4 linked regions of the Saccharomyces cerevisiae S288C genome follow. The gene in region 4 interacts genetically with the main gene of each other region. Each region holds a gene or a part of one and is shown on either strand. Other genes may lie near its edges. The genes, in order: NUM1, RTT109, MRC1 and CIK1.

The links.
Region 1: mutations in CIK1 (region 4) and NUM1 together harm fitness more than expected from each alone (negative genetic interaction), as found in Saccharomyces cerevisiae (3 studies listed by BioGRID).
Region 2: mutations in CIK1 (region 4) and RTT109 together harm fitness more than expected from each alone (negative genetic interaction), as found in Saccharomyces cerevisiae (4 studies listed by BioGRID, with this or other methods).
Region 3: mutations in CIK1 (region 4) and MRC1 together harm fitness more than expected from each alone (negative genetic interaction), as found in Saccharomyces cerevisiae (6 studies listed by BioGRID, with this or other methods).

The regions. Positions count from the first base shown.
Region 1 is NC_001136.10:754,023-758,687, reverse strand, and holds the start of NUM1 (Num1p), read right to left. Parts: upstream 3,061-4,665; coding exon 1-3,060. Other genes in the region: KGD2 (dihydrolipoyl transsuccinylase), read left to right, coding at 3,622-4,665. UniProt on the Saccharomyces cerevisiae protein: Controls nuclear migration. NUM1 specifically controls the interaction of the bud neck cytoskeleton with the pre-divisional G2 nucleus. Functions in dynein-anchoring.
Region 2 is NC_001144.5:144,547-148,154, reverse strand, and holds RTT109 (H3 histone acetyltransferase RTT109), read right to left. Parts: upstream 1,865-3,608; coding exon 554-1,864; downstream 1-553. Other genes in the region: dynamin-related GTPase DNM1, read right to left, coding at 1-265; SFI1 (Sfi1p), read right to left, coding at 2,114-3,608. UniProt on the Saccharomyces cerevisiae protein: Histone chaperone-dependent acetylase that modifies 'Lys-9', 'Lys-14', 'Lys-23', 'Lys-27', and 'Lys-56' on histone H3 (H3K9Ac, H3K14Ac and H3K23Ac, H3K27Ac, and H3K56Ac) to promote nucleosome assembly, genomic stability, DNA repair and transcriptional regulation during mitotic S-phase.
Region 3 is NC_001135.5:18,256-24,100, reverse strand, and holds MRC1 (chromatin-modulating protein MRC1), read left to right. Parts: upstream 1-1,994; coding exon 1,995-5,285; downstream 5,286-5,845. Other genes in the region: MIC10 (Mic10p), read left to right, coding at 1-69; ADF1 (Adf1p), read right to left, coding at 176-517; FYV5 (Fyv5p), read left to right, coding at 120-578; ribosome biosynthesis protein KRR1, read left to right, coding at 722-1,672; VAC17 (Vac17p), read right to left, coding at 5,540-5,845. UniProt on the Saccharomyces cerevisiae protein: Required for normal DNA replication. Phosphorylated in response to DNA replication stress. Phosphorylation allows it to mediate the activation of RAD53.
Region 4 is NC_001145.3:658,198-662,077, reverse strand, and holds CIK1 (Cik1p), read right to left. Parts: upstream 2,334-3,880; coding exon 549-2,333; downstream 1-548. Other genes in the region: v-SNARE protein VTI1, read left to right, coding at 2,880-3,533; YMR196W (uncharacterized protein), read right to left, coding at 3,736-3,880. UniProt on the Saccharomyces cerevisiae protein: Together with the minus end-directed microtubule motor KAR3, involved in spindle midzone assembly, karyogamy (nuclear fusion) during mating, and with an essential function in meiosis I.

The sequences.
Region 1 (4,665 bases), on a different chromosome or scaffold from region 4:
CTTGCACTTGACTAGGTCTTCGTATGCACTATCCGATAGTAAATGGTGATTGGTGGCCTTGGCATGTTCAACTAGGTATTCCAGTGATGGTTGTTCTAGTTTCTTTTCCAATTCAGAATATGCCTCGTTGGATACCACAGTGTGGCCTAGTTTGGCAGACTTCTCCTTCAAGAATTCCATATCAGGATTCTCCTTGCACTTGACTAGGTCTTCGTATGCACTATCCGATAGCAGATGGTGATCGGTAGCCTTGGCATGTTCGACTAGGTATGCTAGTGATGGTTGTTCTAGTTTCTTTTCCAATTCAGAATATGCTTCGTTGGATACCACAGTATGGCCTAGTTTAGCAGACTTCTCCTTCAAGAATTCTACATCAGAATTTTCCTTGCACTTGACTAGGTCTTCGTATGCACTATCCGATAGCAGATGGTGATCGGTAGCCTTGGCATGTTCGACTAGGTATGCTAGTGATGGTTGTTCTAGTTTCTTTTCCAATTCAGAATATGCCTCGTTGGATACCACAGTGTGGCCTAGTTTGGCAGACTTCTCCTTCAAGAATTCCATATCAGGATTCTCCTTGCACTTGACTAGTTCTTCGTATGCACTATCCGATAGTAAATGGTGATCGGTAGCCTTGGCGTGTTCGACTAGGTATGCTAGTGATGGTTGTTCTACTTCCTTCTCCAATTCTGAGTATTTGCGTTGCAATTCAGAATATTCCTCGCTAGATACCACAGTATGGCCTAGTTTAGCAGACTTCTCCTTCAAGAATTCCACATCAGGATTCTCCTTGCACTTGACTAGGTCTTCGTATGCACTATCCGATAGTAAATGGTGATCGGTAGCCTTGGCGTGTTCAACTAAGTATGCTAGAGATGGTTGTTCTACTTCCTTCTCCAATTCTGAGTATTTGCGTTGCAATTCAGAATATGCCTCGTTGGATACCACAGTATGGCCTAGTTTGGCAGACTTCTCCTTCAAGAATTCCATATCAGGATTCTCCTTGCACTTGACTAGGTCTTCGTATGCACTATCCGATAGTAAATGGTGATTGGTCGCCTTGGCATGTTCAACTAGGTATTCCAGTGATGGTTGTTCTAGTTTCTTTTCCAATTCAGAATATGCCTCGTTGGATACCACAGTGTGGCCTAGTTTGGCAGACTTCTCCTTCAAGAATTCCATATCAGGATTCTCCTTGCACTTGACTAGGTCTTCGTATGCACTATCCGATAGTAAATGGTGATTGGTGGCCTTGGCATGTTCAACTAGGTATTCCAGTGATGGGCTCACGTAGTCTTCTTTTTTGAGTAATAAATAATCTGATGCAGAAGCTTTTTCTCTTAGAAAGTCTATCGTTGGGTTCTTTAAACCTTCTAAGGCTTTAGTATCAATCAGCACTTGGTCGTATTCTTTTGCCTTATCTGACAGGTATTGTTTCGAAGGTGTTTCTATCTTATTAACCATTGAAAAATACAGATCATTACTTAGCCATTTACAGCCGTTTCTCTCCTCCAGCCATTTACAAATATTCGATTGTAAGTCGTTCTTTGCTTCCAGGCATTTTTTCATTTGTTCAATTGATGGATTCTTGACACTCTCAAAAAGGTCATTATAATCTTTGGTAGGTATTATCAGGCAATCAATTTTGGATGTTAAAGGCAGTAAAAAATCAATAGTAGGCTCTTTTAACAAGTTAAACGTACTTTGATCGATGGGTATCTTTTTCAAAGCCTGAAGTTTTTCCTTGAGATAGTTATATGATGGATTTGATAGGGATTCGTTTAGGTTCTCAAACTCCTCTAGAGGAAGAACTTTATAGCCAGAAGCTTCTAAATATTTAATATGAGATTCTAACGAAAACTCTTTTTTGCTGTAATTGTCATCATTTGGTAACGCGATCATATTCAGGTTTTCAGCCACCTCTTTGGTCATTAATTCATCGTCTTTTGGTTTGGATGCACTTTCACTTTTTTGTAGTAAGTTTTTATATGAATCATTCGATAACAATATCATATTGTTTTTTTCTGAGTATTTCTTGACAAGATCTTCAGAAATGTCCTCGACAGAGGGGCCTGTTTCAATCATGTGGTCAATTTCGATCACTATATCAAAAATGTCTTCTTCACTAGTGGTCCCCTCAGAATCAGGATCAGATGTTACTGTAGTATCGGAAGTATGCTGTTTTTGATAATACTTCTTTTGTACTTTTCTTTTTAACGAAGAAATAGATGCTTTGGCGTCATCAAGTTGCTTTTGAATTTTTATTCTTTCAGTTCTATTGCTCTGTAAGGAATTAATTTCACTTGTTAGATCAGAAACACTAATAAGTAATCTGTCGTTTTCATTATTTAAGTCTAAAATCCTTTCCTTTAATTCACTAATCTCTTTATCGTAATGAAGTTTTTGAGAGCTAAGATCATTTTCCATGCCATTTTTTGTTAATGTTAAAATTTCCAAATCTGTTTTCAGAAGTTTCAGGCTTTCTTTTTCATCATTCCAAGATTTTTCAGTCTTTTTCTTCAATTCTTTTAATTGCCTACATTCCATGCTCAAGTTTGTTAATTTAGATTCTAAATCCCAGTTTAAATCTTTAGTTGAATCCAACTCTTTCATGAAGGACTTTTTTTGGTTAGTGAGCTCCTCAATCTTGTCACTTAATGACTCTTTAATTTGCTTGAGAGACTTGATTTGCTCATTTTTAGCTTCATTAGAGGATTGCAATTTCCTACACTCAACCAACAAATTCTCGCTTAGTTCCAAAGTAAAGTTCATATCCTTTGATGAATTCGCCGTGAGTACTCCATTGTGGGAACTACTGCCTGCAAATTCCGGAAGCACGTCTTTTGTCTCTCTTTTACTCAAAATACTTGAAATCGAAAACCGCTTTGTTTTATCTCCTTCATCACCACTGCCGCATTCATCAGCCTTTAAGTTAGCCATCCTTGTTACGCCGTTCGTTGAGACGCTTTCCTGGCTTAATGAATTGTCAATGCTATTTGCATACTGCCCTGCTGAGCTGTCTTTATCGTTATTCTTTTTATGCCTGTTGTTGTGGGACATATTCGAACGTCTCGTGGAAAGCCTTGACCGTTGCGTCTTTACTCGTCTCTATTCAACCCTGTGGTCCTATTAGAACCGATCTTTGTTCCATCGTCATTACTACTTCTTGTCTCTTCTCTCTTGGGGAATAATAAACAAAACAATTCCAGCCACCCGCATCTCCGTCAAAGACGATATTAACAACCCTTTTTTTGCAGCCAATCAAAACTAAGGTCCTGCCCGGAGTGAGCCAATAAAGCGGCCACAAATTACGCAGGAATCTATGGTTCCTAAAGCTTATTCTTATTCTACATTAGCACCATTCTACTACAGGGCTCGGATCCACACTTGGTCTATCAGCAAATGCAAATCCTTTTTCCCTCAACTAGGCCTACTTTTCATATATAATCTCTTTTTGAGCTTCAGGGGAGGAAATATCTAACGTAAAAAAAAGAAAAATCCGAAATAAAAAATTAGGCAGCTATCTTTAACGGTATATATCAGTGAATAGATATATTGTTATAAACTTCACTACCACATTTGTTACAACCAAAGACACAACTTCAGATAATTATTTAAACAATGCTTTCCAGAGCGACGCGTACTGCAGCTGCCAAATCCTTAGTAAAATCTAAAGTGGCTAGAAATGTTATGGCTGCTTCTTTCGTCAAGAGACATGCTTCTACAAGTTTGTTCAAACAAGCTAACAAGGTCGAATCCTTAGGTTCAATATATTTATCCGGCAAGAAAATTTCAGTTGCGGCGAATCCGTTCTCCATAACTAGCAATCGTTTTAAATCTACCTCTATTGAAGTTCCTCCGATGGCAGAGTCCCTGACTGAAGGCTCTTTAAAGGAATATACTAAAAACGTTGGTGATTTTATTAAGGAGGACGAGCTGTTGGCCACTATTGAGACCGATAAAATTGATATTGAGGTCAATTCGCCAGTATCAGGTACTGTTACGAAGCTAAATTTCAAACCAGAGGACACTGTCACTGTTGGTGAGGAGTTAGCTCAGGTCGAGCCTGGTGAAGCACCTGCTGAGGGTTCTGGAGAATCTAAGCCAGAGCCTACCGAACAAGCGGAGCCATCGCAAGGTGTCGCCGCAAGGGAAAACTCAAGTGAGGAAACGGCTTCAAAGAAAGAAGCTGCTCCAAAGAAAGAAGCCGCTCCAAAGAAAGAAGTTACAGAACCAAAAAAGGCTGATCAACCAAAGAAGACCGTCTCTAAGGCGCAGGAACCCCCAGTAGCCTCTAACTCTTTCACACCATTTCCACGTACAGAAACCAGGGTCAAAATGAACCGTATGAGATTGAGGATTGCCGAAAGATTAAAAGAGTCTCAAAACACTGCTGCTTCCTTAACCACATTCAACGAAGTTGACATGTCAGCTTTGATGGAAATGAGGAAACTGTATAAAGATGAGATTATTAAGAAGACCGGTACTAAATTCGGATTCATGGGTCTTTTCTCCAAAGCATGTACCTTGGCCGCCAAGGATATTCCAGCCGTCAATGGTGCCATTGAAGGTGACCAGATTGTTTATCGTGATTACACAGATATTTCTGTTGCTGTGGCCACTCCAAAGGGTTTGGTTACCCCCGTCGTTCGTAATGCAGAGTCA
Region 2 (3,608 bases), on a different chromosome or scaffold from region 4:
GATTAACTGAGTTATCATCTTCCTCTATTAGAGGAGAATTTGGAGATATGTTATTAAGTTGAAGAACTAACGGTCTTCTTGTGACAATACCAGTACCCCTAGGTAAAAAATCTCTTCCAACTAACGTTTCCAATATCGAGGATTTCCCGGAGGATTGTGACCCAACAACAGCTAAAATGGGCAAATCGAGTGTATCGATCCCGGAGTCGTACATAACATCCTGCAGCTTGTTGACAGTAGGAATAAGATCTTCTAAACTAGCCATTCTTTATCCGTCGTATTTAGATTCGCTGGTAGCTACTTAATGATAAACTCTTTAGCAAATTGTGGCCAACCTGAGCAGTAGAGTAAAGGTAATATTTCATCCTACCCTCTTATTTATTGTTCCCACACTTTGTTTTGCCCGACCTTACAGGCGTGCACCGCGTAGTAAAAGTTGAGGACCTATCATTACCTAGAAAGGTGGCGATCAAGGTACTAACAATAAATACAAACATGCATTTTCTAAGATCGATGCTACATACGTGTACTAAATAATAAATATCAATATGTATCAAGTTTTAGGCAAGGCTTTAGCTTTTTTACGCGGTTTTAGCATTGTTATCGCCAACGTGTTGATGTTGCTTGCAGGAACCGGCTGATTTCTCTCCCGATGCTCCCTCTTCCCTGTTAAAGATTGAAGATTTGTTGCCATTCTGAGCAATAGAAAATCACGAATATTGGTGAAAGCTTCTATTGCGCCTTCCTCTGTATCGTATTCCTCTCCAGTAATGTACTTCTTGATTGCCCTAAACTGCTTCCTTGACTTCGGTACAATAACATCGGCACTAGATGGAAATAAAGATGGAGTGGCAAGAGAGTATCCCGAAATACCCATTACAGATGATGTGACACTTAATTTGAACTCTTGACGCTCTTGTAGTTCAATCCAGAAGGATGATAAGCTTACTTTGAGGAGGCGATCTTCCTCTGCCAATTGGTGTATAAATCTAGCCTTAGGATCGTCTGGGAATAATGGAATATTATATACCGCAAGAGAATTTTCTTTAGAGGTAAATATATCACCCACTTGCCATAGTGGATATTTCATCCCTCTTAGGTATGATCTTACTCGAGCAGGATCTTCGCCCGGTATCCTTAATTTTGCTTGTGTATCATTTTGAAAGCATTCAATTAGTAATCTATCCAAAATAAAGCCCCACCATTTCATTAGTTCCTCGCCATTTAGTATATGCTTTTTGCTGTTTTTTGAAGAATCTGGGAAGAGGTACTGGGATGCAGGTCTAGTAAATAAACAAATTTTGGTCAAAATCTCACGAGGACAGGTGAATGAGAGATAAAGATCTTGTTGAAAACGTGGAGATTCTATTTCTTTCAAAACGGTGCTGCCTGACTGTTTAAGCCTTCTAGCCAAAATCCTTAAAGTTCTTGCTGGCGTACTGGCTGCGCTAATCAGCTCGGGGGATATCTTCTTATATGATCTTATTGCCGGTTTTACTTTTTGAAGATAGTAATTCGGGTCGATTGATAATATAAATTCTAATATTATTTTTGTAATATCTCTAACGCTTACCCTCGTATTACAATAACCATTAGTGTCTGCCTTTGATACAAATATTAACCGTTCGGCATCTGCTTCATCCCAAAGCGTGACATACACATACACTTCTAATGAAAAAAAAACTTTTCCTTGGTGAAATAGACTAAAGAAGTGTTGAGTCTTGATCGTGCTTTTTGGGACCCTTTTGTCGTCCTTATTTGGGGTTACGACAGCATGGGTTTCTAACGGAATAGATTGCAACGATAAGTATTCAAATTGTTCACTGACAGGTAGCACGGAACTTAGGAAGTCATTCAGTGACATGTCTTATTGAAGACCGGTTGAATTGACCTTTTAACTCTACTGGACAACTCTATTGACAAACTGTAGTTTGTTAAGTAATGCGTTATGGCGTCCATTTTCCATTATAGCTTACAACGCGAACACGAAAAGTATAGTATGTTGTGATGTTTTCATAGACCTGGAGAATATTATTAGTAATTGTATGCATCTCAGAAGCAAGAAAGGTTACGACTACATATGCACACATACATACGTACATAATATATATATCTATTGACGTTTACGACTTAACGGGGATTTATCATGCTCTCTTATATAATCCATATCTTGATCGATTTTAGGAGAATTGGCGCTTAGGCTAAAAGGTACAGCGGGTATTCTGCCAAAATCAATATGGTCAACTTTGGATGGCATGTTTCTAGTGGTACGCCTAGGAGAATACCTTAGAGGTTTTCCTCGCGTCGGAGATCCGTTTAAGCCTGTCGTACTTTCAAGGTTGATCTGTTTTTTAGCTGTAGAATCAAGAACACTGGAAGATTTCACCGGACTTGGTATGGCTCTTCTTGCCCTGCTATAATGCGACTTCATCGCTTCCATTCTGTGCTGCTTTATTCTTTCTGAGCCTGGTATGGTTGAGGCGTTTTGAGAGTCTGATCTTATGGGAGTTTTTAGTTCATGTTTAAGATTGAAGTCCTTCCTTCTCTTTGGAGAACTGTCTGAACGATTTTTCCATAATAATAACAATCCCCTTACAGTGGCCCTGTCCCACCGATGACGAAACACCTCGACTGTCTCATCATTACGCTTAATTTTTAGGAATCGAAGACTCCACATTTTCAAGAATTTGGATGTAATTATGAATTGTTTATTAGCTTCCGATTGTTCCAATAATGTACTCATATAAAATATTTCGTCTAGATGAGTTTTCCAAATATAAAACGTCTTGACTAACACAAATTCTTCGCGAACTTCGTCTGCTAATTCTTCTGATTTTACTATCTCTAAAAGTCTTTCTCTAAATTTCTTCAGCACCATTTTTTCAAGCTGGTAGTTTCTCTTTGAAATAGCCTGAATGTTACATTCTTCTGTGTAGAAGCAAAATCTATTTCGCCAAGCGTTGAACAGTTGGCTTTGAAGTTCGCGCTCTTTACTCTTTTCATAAACGTGTAAAATATCGTTTAACTTATGCCTGACTTTGAACCTTGTGGCTTTCCGCCACTTTAAAAAGGCCTTAGAAAGCTTTACTCTATCCATAGAGGGCGCCAGTTTCGTATATAGCAAATGAACATTATCAATATGCATTAGCGTCCGTTTTACAGTCAAAATTGCATGTGTCTTACATAAGAAATTGTATCTATCCTCCAATTCCTTAGTTTTAATCAGGCGTTCTTTCCATATAGCTAGACACTCATTTACGAGACCCTCTTCGTAAAATTTGGATGCTTCGTCATTCATAGAATTCATTTGTAGCATCCTCCTTTTCCACACACCAAGATATTTTGCACAAAATGCCGTTTTAACATGTTCGCTCGATATTTTCCCATACTGTATTCTTTTCCTCCATGTACGATACGCGCTTGCTTGAATACTCTTTTTACATTTCTGCTCAAATATTTTTAACTTTACTTCAAGTTTCCAACTTCGCAATGATGACTTGAGCAAATTAGTCCTCGAATAATCGCTTGCTTTGAGGTCAATATATAGAAGTTTTTTCCATGAATGAAAAATACGCTTCACGAGGTTAGCCTCTTTTAGACTTACAATT
Region 3 (5,845 bases), on a different chromosome or scaffold from region 4:
GGAAGAGGCTACGCCGAGGGCGACGCCATCTTTAGATCCAGCGCTGGCCTCAGATCCTCGAAGGTTTAGTCTTAAGCGACGATGCTTTATATATATTCAAAAAAAAAAATAATAAAAATATGCAGTACCATTCCGCTCTATATGTATATATTTACGTAACTTTCACCACTATTCCCTATAAGGAAAAGCCGGATATCATTTCGATCTGCTTCAGCATGCTGTCGTTTGTTTTTGATTTTTCTGTCCGAATTTGCTCTCGTACCTTGGAGTCCTTTTCCTGGTCCTTGATCAGCTCCTCGGCTTTCAAAGTAGTCTCAGCTTTCAGTTTAGCTGGCTCTTGTGTACTTGCCTCCCGCAGCAGCGTCGGTATCATTGTTTCACTACTTTTGTTTAACTTTTCCACTTGTAACTTTGTTCTCTTCCTTTCAGCGGTGCTGATCGACCTCTTTTTTTGTACTTTCTTGCCAACACCAACATTCTTGCCCACACCTTTCTTTTTCATGCTACACTTGCCCATTTTTTCCTTGCTAAATGCCCTTGAGTTATTGTACCTTATTATAGCAGGCTTGCACATCTGAAAACGAAAATTTTTTTTTCCTTATATTTCTAATTCTTTTAGCGATGAGATATGAAAATTTTCAAAAAAAAGAGATGATGAGGTTAACTATTGTAAAGTAGACAGCAAACAAAAGGGTCACACAAATATCCAAATTGGCAAACGATGGTGTCTACACATAACAGAGATAAACCTTGGGATACGGATGATATTGATAAATGGAAGATAGAGGAGTTTAAGGAAGAGGATAACGCATCCGGTCAACCTTTTGCTGAAGAGTCCAGTTTTATGACTTTGTTTCCTAAATACAGAGAAAGTTACTTGAAGACGATTTGGAATGATGTAACAAGGGCTCTAGACAAACACAACATAGCGTGTGTTCTAGATTTAGTCGAAGGTTCTATGACAGTAAAAACAACTAGAAAAACATACGATCCCGCTATCATTTTGAAAGCCAGAGATTTGATCAAATTATTGGCGAGATCCGTTCCTTTCCCGCAAGCCGTTAAGATCCTACAAGATGACATGGCATGCGACGTTATTAAAATTGGTAATTTCGTTACTAACAAAGAAAGGTTTGTCAAGAGAAGACAACGTCTTGTAGGCCCTAACGGTAATACTTTAAAGGCTTTGGAACTTCTAACTAAATGTTACATTCTAGTACAAGGTAACACAGTAAGTGCCATGGGTCCCTTCAAGGGCTTGAAGGAGGTCCGTCGAGTAGTAGAAGATTGTATGAAAAATATTCACCCTATCTATCATATCAAGGAATTAATGATAAAAAGAGAATTGGCAAAAAGGCCAGAGTTAGCCAATGAAGATTGGTCAAGATTCTTGCCCATGTTTAAGAAGAGGAATGTGGCCAGAAAGAAACCCAAGAAGATCAGAAACGTCGAAAAGAAGGTCTATACTCCATTTCCTCCTGCCCAATTGCCTAGAAAGGTTGATTTGGAAATTGAAAGTGGTGAGTATTTCTTAAGCAAGAGAGAAAAGCAAATGAAGAAATTAAATGAGCAAAAGGAAAAGCAAATGGAAAGAGAAATCGAAAGGCAGGAAGAGAGAGCAAAAGATTTCATAGCTCCGGAAGAAGAAGCATACAAGCCAAACCAAAATTAGTTTACACCGCTACGGAATCCTTCATATATGTCTATATATATATAGAAACACACACACATTTCGTTTACTTAGATATGTTTGTAAAGTGAAAGAAATTCTTACTAGGACACCAACTCTACTGGCTCTCATATGCAGAGAGATATACATCAATACTTGAAATTTTCCTTATCCTTCTTCGACGCGTCATGAAGAGATAGAATGCGTAAAACGCGTTTGCTTCAATAGCATTTCAAACACATTATGTTGGAAAAAAACCAAGAACAGACAAACAACTAAGGAAGTTCGTTATTCGCTTTTGAACTTATCACCAAATATTTTAGTGATGGATGATGCCTTGCATGCTTTGTCCTCGTTGACTGCAAAGAAGAGAACTACCACCTACAAAAAAGTTGCTGTTCCCATACTAGATGAGAACGATAATACTAATGGAAATGGGCCCAATGACATAGACAATCCGCCAGAGTTGACTGGGAACGGGTTTTTATTTGCCAATGCCACATTAAATCGTGTTAAGAACAGATTAGAAGGCAAGAAAGCACCCGAACAGAATCACAATAATGGAAAAGATAGGAGTGAGAATTCGTTACCAACTCAATTAATCTCTAATCTTTACGATGGTGGTGAAGAGCTGGAGAAATCCGAAGTTAAAGATAATAGTTACAGTGAGAAAAATGTCTCTTCTTCATTCACGCAGACGCAAAGAATACCTGTCAGCATCCAACAAGACAAGGTGTTTAACGTACCTATCCATTCCGTTAATGACGGGAAACCCACCCAATTAATCAAAGAAGATGGTCTCGTCAACGAAACTTCTCAAGCGCTGAAAACACCTCTCACGACAGGACGGCCAGGGGCTACACAGCGTATAGATAGCAGCGGTGCAACCTCACAAACTCAGCCTATAAAATCAATTGAACCACAATCCCAAATAATTACGACTTCCAGCAATCATTCTAATGCTCTGTCGCCGAAAATTCCTATAATTCCAACGGAACTTATTGGAACTAGTCCTTTATTTCAGTCCATTCAAAATCGTGGTCCTGACACCCAAATGGATGTACCACCACAGACTGCGCATGATGAGGATAAGACACAAGCAATTGGTATTCCACAGGCTACGCATCAGGAACAGAAAACCCAAATAGATACAGTCGCACAAACACTTCAAGATGAAGTACCACACACATTAAAAATTCGGGAAATACAAAGCGAATTGGCTTCAGAAGATTCTAAAAGGGAAAAAGCTAGAAATGTCGAATACAAAAAACCGCAAAAGCCAATACCAACCAAAAAATTTTTTTCTAAAGAGTCTTTTCTTGCTGATTTTGACGATTCGTCCTCAAATGAGGACGATGATATAAAGCTGGAAAATGCACATCCAAAACCAGTACAGAATGACGATGAACTGCATGAGAACAAAAGTGTTGAATTAAATCTAACTGATGAGACAAGAATAAATGAGAAAAGGGTTCCACTATTGAGCTCCTATGCTAATAATTTGAAACGGGAAATTGACTCCTCGAAATGCATAACACTGGACCTCGACAGCGACAGTGACGAATATGGAGATGATGATATGGATAGCATTAAATTATCCAAAGATGAAAGCGTTTTGCCAATCTCTCAGTTATCAAAGGCGACTATATTAAACCTGAAGGCAAGACTCTCTAAACAAAATCAAAAGTTGTCTCAAAGGCCGAATAAAAGTAAAGACCCAAAAGTTGATCATAATGTACTATTAAATACCTTAAGGAAAGCTAGCAGGAAACAAATTCTGGATCATCAGAAAGAAGTGATTGAAACGAAAGGTCTGAAGCTGGAGGATATGGCCAAAGAAAAGGAAATAGTAGAGAACTTGCTAGAACAAGAAATTCTTAGAAATAAAAGAATCAGACAAAAAGAGAAGAGAAGGGAAAAACTTGAAGAAAATGACTTTCAATTGAACGCCCATGATTCCGGTTCTGACTCAGGGTCAGAGTCTTCTGGATTTGCATTGAGTGGTAATGAAATTGCCGATTATGAATCATCTGGTAGTGAAAATGACAATCGTAGAGAATCCGATAGTGAAAAGGAAGATGATGAAATTATTCTAAAGCAAAAAAAATCCCACCACGTGAAACATATCATTAACGAATCAGACTCTGATACCGAAGTCGAAGCCAAACCCAAAGAGAAAGCTGATGAAAGTCTACCGAAAAGGATCGCCATTAATCTGGGCCATTACGGTGATAATATCGGAGAGGATACCGACAAATTTCAAGAAACCAATGTTCTAGATACACAAAACATTGAAGAGGTGATGGCCGAAAGAAATACAATCGAAAATGAAGTCAAAGATGATGTATACGTCAATGAAGAAGCTGATGAAGCAATTCGCCGTCAGCTGATTGACAAAGAGAAATTGCAACTAAAACAGAAAGAAAAGGAGCACGAGGCTAAGATAAAAGAGTTGAAGAAAAGAGGTGTCACAAACTTCTTTGAAATGGAAGCCGAAGAATCCGAGGATGAATGGCATGGTATCGGTGGTGCAGATGGAGAAGGATCTGACGACTATGATTCTGACCTAGAAAAAATGATCGATGATTATTCCAAGAACAATTTCAATCCTCATGAAATCAGAGAAATGCTTGCCGCAGAAAATAAGGAAATGGATATCAAAATGATAAACAAAATTCTTTATGACATTAAAAATGGAGGATTTCGTAATAAAAGAGCAAAAAATAGCTTAGAGCTAGAACTAAGTGATGATGATGAAGACGACGTACTACAACAATATCGTCTCAAAAGGAGAGAATTGATGAGAAAAAGGAGATTAGAAATTGGCGATGATGCAAAGCTTGTTAAAAACCCAAAGTCGAGCGCATTTTTTGAAAGTATGGTGGAAGATATTATCGAATATAAAAACCCCTTCGGGGCTGAAGAGGAATATAACCTAGACATTACAAGTACGGCTACTGACCTAGATACTCAGGACAATAGCATTAATGTAGGTGATAATACGGGAAATAATGAACAGAAACCTGTAGATCAAAAGAACAAAAAGGTTATCATATCTGAAGACTTTGTGCAGAAAAGCTTATCCTTCCTAAAAAGTAATAATTATGAGGATTTTGAAACGGATAAGGAGCTATCAAGGATACAACATGGCAATGATGAAGCAATTGAAGATTTATATACCCTAAAACAGAATAGTTCGATAAAGTCATTCACAAATTCTCAAACTGATTCGACCACTTCAAAAACAGTAAACACAATAATTGACTTAGAAAAGCGCCCAGAGGATGAAGATGAGGTGGAAAATGGAGATACATCACTAGTTGGCGTTTTCAAACATCCATCAATAATCAAATCCTTTGCGTCCAGAACAGACATAAATGATAAGTTTAAAGAAGGTAACAAGACAGTCAAGATTCTAAAGTCTTACAAGACAGTGGGGAGTTCAAAAGCTTCTATCACATATATGGGGAAAACGAGAAAATTAATAGCACCAAAGAGGAAAACTGAAGGGAGCCACCGCTACCACCATGACCATCATAATAAAAAAATGAAAATGAAAACGAAAACAAAATCGAATAAACTTTTTGAAAGCGGACAAGATAGCTTTGATAATTAGTGGTTTTTTATCTTTTCCGAAGAAGTTGATTGAACTCCAGAAGCTGTCTTGAAGTAGTCGCATTAAAAAAGATGGCACCCGAGTCTAGGCCAAGCCATAGTCATGTTATGATAGGATTTTATAAGACAAATATTATAAAGAAGTTTAATAATAATACAAAAAGATACAAAAAAACTTGAAGATATTCTGAATAAAAAAAAAAAGAATAAACATTTGGAGCAAAAGAAGAGTAGGTTAGGTAAAGGAGGCATTAATTAAAACAGCAGTTCTGTATTCAAAGCATCTTGCAATTCTTCTATAGAGACGCTTATATCCATATTATTTTTTTGTTCCTGTGCTACATTATGATTTGATATTCGTTCTTCATTCATGCCCTTATTCTTTCTCCCCCTCTTACTTTGAAAAGATTCTGATATTGTGCTTAACGATGAATTAAACTTATCCATAAAAGATGCATGCTTAAGATTTGTGTTGTTCTCTTTTACCGTATGTGTATCTGATCGTGCAATGAATGATGATAACAACGCCTTAGAACTTGAAATACGAGGACCATTACGACT
Region 4 (3,880 bases):
CCTCGAAGAAGTAAAATCGCGAATTCTTCCTTGAACGCGTCTCTTGCAGGCTGAACAAAGAAGTCGCTAGTGGATCGTCACAGAATGAACACGCCCACGAGCGGGATCTGGCTCGAGTTGTCATGAATACTGAAAGTATCAGGCGCGGGGTTGTAGTAGGTAAAGAATTTCTCCAAGAGGTTGTAGGAATGGACTTGTTTACCCCTTTACGCGCGGTGTTTTCGTGGCTTTACCGCATTGGGGTATGTCCCAGAAGAGAGTGTGCGCTATTCGATTTCCTATCAGTGAAGTGTTGCGAACAAGGGAATGCTGTCGAATTAGGAAAACAAAAGTTTATTCATGCAAATTTTGTGGCACGCTACCCTAAGTTCTCGATGATGTTTGGCTGCGTTTAAGTGAGTAATTTACATCCGCCTGTTAGTCCCGTAACATTCTCTTTTATTTTGCTAGGATAATTAGGTTGATGCCACGCACGACAATGTAGCTACGTAAGTTTTTTATGTAAGGGAACGAGACGAAGTGATTGTAGCGCACAAGATCTGGCCTTCTTAATCTAGCTGAGGTAATGTTATTGTTCTTTTCAGCTTTCCCGCTAAGGCTAGAGCCTTCTCGATGTTTTCACCAGCGTTAATCTTGAAGACAAAGCACTGCTTTGTTTTAGTGAGAATATGCGAAAGGACTGAGGGAGCATCATCAAGCTCTCTATTCAGCTGTACCGTGGACATACTACCGATATATATATTCATTGAATGGGACTCTTCATCTTTTCCCAACTTGGTATCTAAAGTTAAAATGTTCATGCATTCTTCATCTTGTGACAGATCTCTAATTTCTGTTGGGTTATCTAATCCAACGTCACTGTGTTTAATACTTCCGTCAAGATGCAAAATGTTCAATGTCATCTTATAATTCTCACCGTACTGCTCAATTAACTGTTTTAGCAAAGTCTTTTTCATTGGTGCTGTGGGTTGCTGCGAAACCACTATAATGCTGCAGTTAATTAACTTGCTGATGTATTTTTCCAGGAACGGAATGCATTCGTTATATAAGCGTTTGTGATCCTTATGGATTTCTTCGAGAACTACTCTATCAAATACTTGTACCCGTTTTTCTCCACTATTCTCGCAAATGCACCGATCCACATAGTTGATATGGAATTCATCAGGCATTTGTCGTTCATTGGCATACGCAAAGCATCGGGTGTATCCTTTGATTTCTTCAATTGAAGTGGCCAGATTTTGTCGTGTGTATAATTCCTGTTGAACCTTTTCTAGTTCATTAACGTACTTCTTCTTCCAATTGTTTGCTTCTCCTTCGACTTGCTTCTTCTCCTCCTGCACTTGCGTCAATGCTTGTGATGTAGAAGCAAGCTTCTTTTTGAGAGGAACAACGGCAAGTTCCATGCTATGGAAGTTCACTTCTGCCTCTCCAATCCTTTTTTCAAAATCGTTAAACTCATCTCTACACGTCTTAATATTTTCTTTCAGTTCACCATGGGTGTCTTGTAGGTCTTTTAAAACTTTCGAAAGTCTTTCTTGCTCCCCATCTAATTCAATTCTAGCATCGTTCTTAACTTTCTTGAATATCTCGAATTTCTTGTCCAATTCTTTTTTGTAGTTTTTACACTCGTTCTCATTTTCATTCTGTAGAATGAATAGTTTCCTATTGACCTCCTCGAATTCTGTTTTAAGCTGTCGCATTTCGTCAGTTAACCTTTCGTCAGGTTTCAAATTTTCTACTTCCATTAATTTATACGTCCACTCCCTTTTGGCATTCGATAGCTCTTCCTCTAAATCGTTTTCGAACTCTTGTACTTTTACTGCATGCATAGACACTATATTTTTTGATGATAGCTCAACATTCTTTCTTTGAAGATCACATTGATTATCCTTCAAGTCCATCTCCGTTGATAGTCCATCAATCTCATTTTGTAGCTCCCTGCACGCTTTGACTTTTGCATCTAATTCTAATGTTATTGCAGGTAGTTCCCTGGCATGAATACGAACAGATTCCTTTTCAATTTCAGAAATAGCATTCAGTAGTGAATCTATGTCTTTTCTAACCTTACGTTCATTGTTCTTAACCCTTTCAATAATCTTGGGGTCCCCCCCAAAGGTTAGTTTCTTAGTATACGTAGCGGAGGTGTCATCAGTGTAGCAGCGCCGTATACCAGATCCAGAGCTGTGCAATATATTTAGCTTGTTGTTATTAGGAGTTAGTATCATATCCATTTCTCTTTTCTGAACCTTCTGTCGTTTTGTCTTTGGAAAGTCTCGAGTGACGTTGTTTGGATCACTATGAAAGGAAAGTTTAGGAATTTTGGAGTTATTCATCCTAATAATAAAGCTTATGTCAACGAGTTTCAAATGCCAAAACAAATATTAAAATAGTGAATAGCTCTTATATATACACGGTCCAACCCTATGGCACAAAATTCACTTATTTAGGCGCTTAATTATAATGTCGTAGTTGTGTTTCAAAGTTGCTTCAGCCAAACGGAAAAGCCGCCTAAATGTGTCGATCAGTGAATGAGCTCAATAACGTGTGGATATCAAAAAATAATACAGTAAAGCCTTATTCTCGGACGATATGCTCAATGGTCAACGACTGACTAGTTTTATTTTGATACGAGCTACGACAGTGGTATCTTTCATATACTAGAATCATATTAGAGAGTAAATAAGAACAAAAATGGTAAACAAACAAATATCACTATGGACGATATTACTGATCACATGACTGTCTAATTTTCAATGAAAGTTAGGAGTGGAGTAGTCGTGCTATATAGGGCAATTACTATTCTTGGAAAAGTGTAAAGCTTTACATTAAGTTGTATAAAACGAATCAACCGCACTCTTTACATTGCTGCATGGCTTACTATGAGTTCCCTATTAATATCATACGAATCTGACTTCAAAACAACCTTAGAACAAGCCAAAGCGAGCTTAGCAGAGGCCCCCTCACAACCGTTATCACAGAGAAATACTACACTGAAGCACGTAGAACAGCAACAAGATGAGTTGTTTGACCTGCTAGATCAGATGGATGTAGAAGTTAATAACAGCATAGGCGATGCCTCAGAACGTGCTACGTACAAGGCGAAGTTAAGAGAATGGAAGAAGACTATACAGAGCGATATCAAACGACCACTGCAATCCTTAGTAGACTCAGGCGATCGTGATAGACTTTTTGGAGATCTTAACGCATCTAATATTGACGATGACCAAAGGCAACAGTTGTTGAGCAACCATGCAATCTTACAGAAATCGGGAGATAGACTAAAAGATGCCAGTAGAATAGCAAATGAAACTGAAGGAATAGGGTCACAAATAATGATGGATTTAAGGTCACAGAGAGAAACTTTGGAAAATGCAAGACAGACCTTGTTTCAAGCGGATTCATATGTGGATAAAAGTATAAAGACACTAAAAACAATGACTAGAAGGCTAGTTGCTAATAAATTCATAAGCTATGCCATTATCGCAGTCCTTATATTATTGATTTTGCTAGTTTTGTTCTCAAAGTTTAAATAAGGTGGGAAAACAAATTCAATAAAAAACCTCTAGAATCTAAAGAACATGTCAAGGAACTATAGAGTTACCTTCACTAGTAATATCAACGCTACCTTACTGATAAAAAACTACTGCAATTAAATATTCTATAGATCAAAATATAGAGGTATATCGTTGGAAATATTTTTCAAACGTACAGATATTGAAGGTTCACCGCAGTTAATCAAGACACATCCTTATTCAACGGACTCATTGGGTCCATTGGGTCTATATCCTCATCTTTAGCCTTGTCAGTTACTTTCATATTTTTCACCTTATCTTTTAGCTTGCCTATAAGCTTGGTTTCAAAGTTGTGACGATCTTCAGGT